2 linked regions of the Xenopus tropicalis genome follow. The protein of the gene in region 1 binds, or shares a complex with, the protein of each later gene. Links are inferred from orthologs where the notes say so. Each region holds a gene or a part of one and is shown in the gene's direction. Other genes may lie near its edges. The genes, in order: prkaa1 and prkag1.

What was found.
Region 2: the proteins of prkaa1 (region 1) and prkag1 are in contact, whole or in part, in a crystal structure (PDB 6C9H), measured with the Homo sapiens proteins. The link is inferred for Xenopus tropicalis from reciprocal best matches to the Homo sapiens genes PRKAA1 and PRKAG1. Residues at the interface, in NP_006242.5 of Homo sapiens: Ser295, Ser296, Thr297, Met298, Ile299, Asp301, Glu302, Lys305, Arg342, Glu347, Ala348, Phe351, Tyr352, Leu353, Arg369, His371, Pro372, Glu373, Pro376, Phe377, Asn449, Val451, Thr452, Thr536, Pro537, Arg538, Gly540, Ser541, His542, Thr543; in NP_002724.1 of Homo sapiens: His36, Asp40, Leu41, Ile42, Pro43, Thr44, Ser45, Val50, Leu64, Val65, Gly68, Val69, Arg70, Trp75, Ser77, Lys78, Lys79, Gln80, Phe82, Pro158, Glu159, Ser160, Gly161, Asn162, Lys170, Arg171, Lys174, Phe175, Leu178, Phe179.

Annotation. Positions count from the first base shown.
Region 1 is NC_030677.2:195,902,729-195,907,238, forward strand, and holds the start of prkaa1 (5'-AMP-activated protein kinase catalytic subunit alpha-1), read left to right. Parts: upstream 1-1,616; 5' UTR 1,617-1,640; coding exon 1,641-1,740; intron 1,741-4,510. UniProt on the Homo sapiens protein: Catalytic subunit of AMP-activated protein kinase (AMPK), an energy sensor protein kinase that plays a key role in regulating cellular energy metabolism.
Region 2 is NC_030678.2:136,344,106-136,347,925, reverse strand, and holds part of prkag1 (5'-AMP-activated protein kinase subunit gamma-1), read left to right. Parts: coding exon 1-44; intron 45-361; coding exon 362-416; intron 417-575; coding exon 576-702; intron 703-793; coding exon 794-959; intron 960-3,025; coding exon 3,026-3,063; intron 3,064-3,820. UniProt on the Homo sapiens protein: AMP/ATP-binding subunit of AMP-activated protein kinase (AMPK), an energy sensor protein kinase that plays a key role in regulating cellular energy metabolism.

The DNA of each region.
Region 1 (4,510 bases):
ATGGACAGAAGACATATATATATATATATATATATATATATATATATATATATATATCAGTAGATTTATATATATATATATATACACCAATGTATATATGTATTTACTTACCCTATTTTGATTTTCAGTTCCTTTCCTGTCTAGATATGATTTTGTGGGGATAACTTACTGTGACAAATAACCACAGGCAACATACACTCTGGTAAATACAGTGAACCCCATAAATCACAAATCATCAGTTTGTTGAGCTCTTTAGGCCTTTTGATGATTTTAAACTAAGGAGTTTCATTTAATCAAAACTGAGTTTACAAGGGGCCCTCTTTCAAAGCAAACATAGCACAATTTTTGGAGGTTCCCATTAGCAACATCAATTATGCCATTTGTTTTAGAGGAATAACAGGAATTCAAAACATGCTGTACTTTTTAGGAGTCCCTGTTACTCCACAAATTGCAAAAAGGAATAAAAACAAAGGATCGTAACAGTCAGTGTGGGTGCTGCCCTGCATGTTTTAATAACACAGCCCCCCTCATATTGGGATTCAGTTACCAGAAGGTTGACATCTTGGGGGAACAAGGCAGTCAGAATTGCTATAGCTATCCCAGTGAAGTTCAGGATGGCGGGGTAGGAATACTTTTTTTTCCATCACACAGTACTATAGACCCCCAGATCAAGGTATGCTCTGGTTAGGAGTCCACTCAATGGTTTTAGGAACCCCTCAGTCTAGGATCGCCATTACAAATCATCCAGCCCCATTCAGCAATGCCCTGCCAACTAAGTAACAAGGGCCCTAATGACAAATAAATAAAAAATGCTGCCCTATATAGCACATTTGACCACGCCCCCATTCTGCCCAGACCACGCCCAATACAGACAAAAAAGTCCTGTGCCCAGCCCAGCTCCACCTATTGCCTGCATGCTCATTAGGGTGAAGCCACATGTTGCTAATTAGTAGCACCTACTTGTCATGGCTACTAAATGCCAGAAATGACACTGCCATAGACAATACTGAGAACTGCCTCCACTAAAACGTACATAGCAACAATTATCAGTAAATGATCAGCATTGTCTATTTTAGTAGCTGCTACTAGTAGCTCAGTGTCTTCACCCTTACACTACTATGCCCAGGAACCGCCCCAACCCATCTGCTGGCCCAAGTTCTAGTTACGTTCCCAGCCACATGACCCTGATAGGAATTCCACCTGCCTGGCATGATGGCAGCCCTACCTTGATCACTCCTATAATATAGCACCAAGCACGTCACTGTACCCCATTGGCGACATTACATCATATATTTCTATCTTTCCACGCACAGATCTAAGCGTATAGTTTTCCCAAGCCATTTTATTAACATTGCAGCCCAATAACCCGGCCGCTGTCACCCTATAGCCCGCCATGTTCTTAGCCAATCCGCTAGCGGCGTCCGGTATTCGCCACACCCCCTTGCAACACCAACCAATAACCCCGACGCACTACGTCTCCGCCTCAGACAAGTGACGTGTGCGTGCTCGTACGTCGCCGTGCCCTGTTGCTAAGATACGGCCACCTTTTTCCCGTTCCCGCTAGGAGGCGATTTCTGTGCCCGCGCTGGCTTGTTTGTCGGGAACGCGCGGCGATGCGCAGGCTCAGTTCGCTCATGAAGATGGCGGCGGATAAACAGAAGCATCATGACGGGAGGGTGAAGATCGGTCACTATATACTGGGCGACACGCTCGGGGTGGGCACGTTTGGCAAAGTGAAAGGTATGGAGGGAGATAGAGAGGGGGGGCTTGTGGAAAGAGGATCTTGAGTGTGTGGGGAAATGACTGGGAAATGGAGGGATAGGCAAGGGGAGCAGCCCTGAATGCAGGGCACATAGGGTAAATACCTTGAACTGGGCGGGACTGCTTCCCTTTCCCCCCACGGCATGGTGGTACCTTCCTGTTATCCTTATTGCCTCGTCTGTAGGCTTTTGGGCTGTTCCAATCCCTTTCCACTTCAGGGGGTGGGAAACTTGTAACGGAGCAGTCTAGACATTGGCAGGGAGGCTTTTGTGACGTTCCTTAACATATTTTTTTAAATTTGTTTTTTTTCCCCCAAATTATTCCCGTTCTTATTTTGCCATTCTTTAAAGGGTTAACTTTGTTATTTTGCATAATAAAAGAAAACGAAATTCCAAGCAACTTTCTAATATTTCTTAATTAAACATTAGTCTTAGTTCGTTTTAAATGTCATTTCTATAGACCATAGTGTTCTGACTTTGCAGTGCTGGTTCTGACTCCAGAAATTGTTTTCCCAGCTGCCTGCTCTTACCCGACACATTGTTACAAACAGAGCACAGGAAAAGGGATGAGGAAAAAAACAAAAGACAATTTGTTACCTGCCTTCAGGCAGATTTAACCCTTTCATTTCTGTGCTGCCCGTGGCTCCGTAATTGTGTTGTCACTTTATGAAGCTTTCTAGCTGTAATCCAGTGTGTTCAACACGCGTAACAGGGCGCTGCAGTGGGTTAATTGTAGCACGGTAAAGCTTTTTTTTTTAAAGTGATATCAACACTGTTCTGTAAAAGTATCACTTTAACTGGTGCCAGATGCATCACTGAGTGCATATAATGAGTTGCATGTAAATCATAGGAAAATATATATATTTTTTTTTTTTGCTGCTTCTAATCCGGTTAATTCCATGGTGGCGGGGCAGACTGGTGAGCACAGAAGGGACAGCTGCTGTCTCCTGAGCTTGCAGCACTAGAAAGCACTTGCACAGCTGATATCCCCCAGGTATAATGGCTATGTCTAAGGGTGAAGACACACAGAGCTACTTAGTAGCAGCTACTAAACGCCAGAAAATACCCTGCCATAGACAATACTGAGAATTGCCTCTTGTAAAACACAATAGAGACAGTTATCAGTAAATGATCAGCATTGTCAATTTTTGTAGCCACGACAAGTAGCTGCTACTAGTAGCTCTGTGTGTCTTCACCCTAAAGGTGGCCATACACAGGCCGATTCTAGCTGTTGATATCGGTCGCTTAGACCAACTCGGCAGCTTATCGGACCATGTATGGGCACTACCGACGGGCCTGCCCGACCGATATCTGGCCTGAAATCAGTCAGATATCGATCGGACAGGTTAAAAAATTTCATCGGATCGGGAACCGCATTGGCTCGTTGATGCGGTCCCCTAACCCACTTTACTTACACCCATCTTCCTAATTCAATTGTCTGGCCCCAGGGCCCAACTACTGAATAAGCCTGAATTAGCCCAATATCGCCCTGCGAGCAGATCTCAGTGTGTATGGCCACCTTAAAGGAACAGTAACACCAAAAAATGAAAATATATCAAAGAAATTAAACTATAGTGTACTGTTGCCCTGCACTGGTAAAAGTTGTTTGTTTGTTTCAGAAACACTACTACAATTTATAGAAATACCCTGGTGTGTAGCCATGGGGGCGGCCATTCAAAAGGAGAAAAGGCACAGCTTGTATAGCAGATAACAACAGATAAACTCTGTAGAATACAATGTGTCTTATCTGTTATCTGCTAGGTAACCTGTGCCTTTTCTTCTTTTCCCAGCTTGAATGGCTGCCCCCGTGGCTACACAGCAGCTTATTTATATAAACTATAGTAGTGTTCCTGAAGCAAACACCCCAGTTGTACCAGTGCAGGGCCACAGTAAATTATATTTGAATTACTTTAAAACACTTTCATTTTGTGGTGTTACTGTTCCTTTAAGGGCAGTAAGTTAATTAATAAAATGACCCACTCTTTCAAGCTTTATTGTTCCTTGGCCTGATTTGCCCTTTACAGTCTTGCTCGACTCTTCTTGTGTTGGTAATAAAAACACTGCAGCCCTCCCTGGATCAATACCCATTCACCTTTGGCACGTATAATGCAGTTTAATCCAGATGGAGGTAAATGGGTAGCACTCAGGAGTCAGCCTTTTGCTTTATATTCTCAGCATAATACACAAGAGCCATGGATATTCTGTAAATTATATGCTTATAATTGGTGCTTAGTGATATTGATTTTAATAGATGCTCAGTGATGTGAATTCTGTCACGTGACTTACTGGAACTTGTTTTGTTATAAATAATGCACCCCCTGTATTTGTCACTGAGGAGATTAATGATAATATAGAGGCAAGAGGCTATGTCAGTAACTATAATATCCTTATATTTTATGGTAGGGGCTGCATTATTCACTATAAAATTGGTGTTAGTGTCACATGATTCACTGAAATAAGGTACTATATCAGAAATATCTGTGTGCTTAATCCTTGCACGTTTCTTCCATTAGGTATTGAACCGAGGCAGGGCTTGATCTAAGAGAATGCCATAAATTTTTATTATACTATGATATGTGCAGCAGTCTTATTGCTTAAAATAGAAATGTCAGTATAAATGGATCGTCCATTTCATCCCACACTTTTAATGGGCCTTAAAGGGAAAGTAGAGCCAAAAAATAGCGTTTTGCCCATTGCAAGAAAATGTAATTCTAAGCCGCTTTCCAATATCCATTACTGCTGCGTGTATA
Region 2 (3,820 bases), on another chromosome or scaffold:
GCAGATTTATGAGCTGGAGGAACACAAAATTGAGACATGGAGAGGTGAGTCTGGATACAGGCGCATACACATGAGCAATACAATTTTTAGTGAATGCAGGATAGGCCTCCACTTTTCACTTATTTTACATATCTGGCATGTTGTACTGCTAGGCTTCATGAAGAAGGTACTGTATTTATTCCTGCATTTACCAAGAGGACCCACTATAACAGCCAACATATTAGATAACAGCAAGTGGCTGTTCATTTTAGGCTTGCAAATGAGTTGTTCAATCATATATTTGCATTGTGAAGTGATCAGTCTGCAAGGGCTTTTGTTTTGTTAATGTTCTGATCTGGATTTTTTTTTTTGTTTCCCCTAGAGCTCTACTTGCAGGATTCCTTTAAGCCTTTGGTTAGCATTTCACCCAGTGCCAGGTAGGAGCCAAGACACTGTTGCTGGGATGGTCCGTGATCTGAGAGCCTAATTGCAATGTTTCATATTAACTATTAAATTACCATGTGCCATAAGACTATTGCAGGGAATATTGTAAATGCACTGAGAAAAGTCTATCTTTTTCTTCCTTTTGTCCTTAGTCTGTTTGATGCTGTCTCATCACTGATAAAGAACCGTATACACCGTCTTCCTGTAATCTCTCCTGACTCAGGGAATACTCTGTACATCCTGACACACAAACGCATCCTGAAATTCCTTAAGCTTTTTGTAAGTCTTGCTCTATTTGTATTATTCCTTTGGCTTCTACACACAGACCTCATTTCATCAGAATTTCTTATTTTATATTTTCAATGAGAAGATGTCTGAAGTTGAGAAACCTGCTTTTGTGACTAAATCCCTAAAAGATCTGCACATTGGCACTTATGAAAATATTGCCCTTGTTCGCCCGGACACTCCTGTATATGTTGCTTTGGGCATCTTTGTGCAACGGCGGGTGTCTGCTTTACCAGTTGTGGATGACTCAGGTTAGTGAAGGATTTCAGAGACAAGTTACAGTCTGTCATTTCCTCCTGTTGCTTTGTAGCTAACATGAGGTACAACAATGTTCCAGCAAATGTTCTGAATTTAGCATTATCCACTTCCTCTATAGGTGCAATAAAGAAGTAATTGATATTGAACAATATAAGGTGTAAAGGAAAATGCCTGTCTCCCAGGGCACTTAGAAAACTGGAAAAATGCTGTAGCATGTCATATATACTCTGCTTAATTAAATCATTGTAAGGATAAGGCCCCACGGATTGTCAGCTTGCATATAAGCACACACTGACACATATGCCCTTACGCTTGAAAAATCTTATTATTGTGCCTGAACACAGAAGCAATGAATCCACCTGGGTGCAGGCACACTCAGCCAATATCTGCCTACATACGCCAAGTCTCGCATTAATTGGCGGATATCGACTGCGTGTGCCTGCACCTGGGCAGATTCAGTTTTTCCGTGTGCAGTCACTATTTGAAAACGTTTTTAAGTGTATGGGCAAATTATCAGTCTGTGCTTATATGCCGGCTGACAGTCTGCCTTGTGGGGCCTTACCGTAACTCTCCTTGCTTCCTAATTTGTAACTCTGTTAAATTGCTTAGGGGAGGTATACGTCCTTATTTAACAAAAGCTCAATATATACAGTATAGGGCTTGTACTTAAAAATACTGTTTGCCTTTTTATAATTAAGAAACATCACTTTCTAAATTTCTCTAACAAATAAACCGTTTCCTGGTTTTGCCAAGCAGATCAGAAACTGGTAAAATGAATTATCAGTCCACAGAAAAGCCTTTTAATGAGCTGCTTAGGGAAGGGAGGTGTTTGTTTATTCAGGGCTCCTTATCTTACTTTGAACAAATGACTCTAGGGGGGAGTGAGTTCAGTGAAAAACAGACCAATTTTTCATTAATGCTTCTTTGTTAAAATAAGAATAAGAAAAATCTCCTATTTATAGTTCTCATTTTTTTTGCAAAGATATATGAGGGGGGGTATACTATCTCATTAAAGGAACAGTAACACCAAAAAATGAAAGAGTTTTAAAGTAAATGAAATATAATATACTGTTGCCCTGCACTGGTAAAAGTTGTGTGTTTGCTACAGTAACACTACTATAGTTTATATAAACAAGCTGCTGTGTAGCCCCGGGGGCAGCCATTCAAGCTGGAAAAAAGGAGAAAAGGCACAGGTTACATAGCAGATAACGGATGAGCTCTGTAGAATACAATAGTGTTTTATCTGTTATCTGCTAAGTGCCTGTGCCTTTTCTCCTTTGAATGGCTGCCCCCATGGCTACACAGCTGCATTCTTTATATAAACCATAGTAGTGTTTCTGAGGCAAACTCACCAGTTGAACCAATGCAGGGCAACAGTACATTATATTGGAATTTCTTTCATACACTTGAATTTTTTGGTGTTACTGTTCCTTTAACAGGTGACACTGTATAAGACATAGCACACAAGTGAGTGTCATCTAATATATTCTTGTCCCTTCCAGTCCCCTGGCAACTTCCTATGTTTGTTTTTCAGCCACCCCGTCAAATTTTTCTAGGGATGCACCGAATTCTGCATTCGGTTCGAGATTCGGCCAAATCCAGGCTTTTTTTTTTTTTTAAGGATTCGGTTTTGCCCGAATCTGCGGTCCCGGCCGACCCGAATCTGAATGCTAATTAGCATAAATTAGTATATGCTAATTAGCATTAATAACCATATGCTAATGAGGATTGGATTCGGTTCGGGATTCGCACAAATCCTTCAGAGTGGGTTCAGGGGTTCGCCAAACCCAAACCCATGTTCATGAGTCAAACTCTACTATAGGGGCTGATTTGCTAAAACCCCAATAAAGTACTACAATGCCATTACCTATAGTAACTAGTCAGATGTTGTAGCACTCATTTTACTAAACAATCCCCAAAGTCTCTTGGATTTTAGGAATCTGCTATTCATAGCCACATTTTAACACATATCTTTAAGTAGTGTTCTTATATTCAAGCACTTGCCCTCTTGCCATACTGTATTGGCCAGGAATTTAGTCACTTTTTTCTTCCCTTACAGGACGAGTTGTTGATATATATTCCAAGTTTGATGTCATTGTGAGTACCACTTAAGCTATTGCTTTTGTGTTTAATATGTGAAAAGCAAGTGTGTGCGTGTGTGTATATAAATATCTAAAAATAATATCAAATTATCAGTATATTAAGGACATTGAGGCATTTTTTGCATTAAGCTACTAATACATGCCCTTCCCTTTAAACAAAACAGGGATTGTTTTTCCATATATTGTAATATATTCAAAGCCATCCCCGGTCTGGCCAGTCCTACACTCAATTTCATCTGATTCATTAAGAATTCTACTGCTTCATTGTACGTTTTTCACAGAGACTTGCTTTGCTTTTAAGGTTAAAATTTCTAAATGGTTGCCCTTTTATTGGCCATCACTGGGATCACCTGACTGTAGCTGGGGGTAAAGGGAATTTCAATGTGGCACTGGTCACTGCTCCTGTATAAATTATAGCAAAAAGGGAAGGTTGTGCGCAAAGACAAGAGACTCTCTGCACATATCCATTATAATAAATATATGAAGCACATTGAGACATTTTGTGTATAGAAATAACCTTTTTTTTAAAAAAAAAAAAAAAAAAAAATCTTTAAAATTACTCTAAACAACAACATCCTGCATGCCGTCTGATCTGGTTTCTGACTTATAAATTGAAATCTCCAGCTCCTTTCCTCTACTTCCTGTTACAGCGTGAAGCCCTGTTCCCTCTTCCTGCTTAGCTCTCATTATTTCTTATATTCACAAACAGAAAATCTATGTACCCCCAAAAAAATTTGACAGTGTAGTGAGTT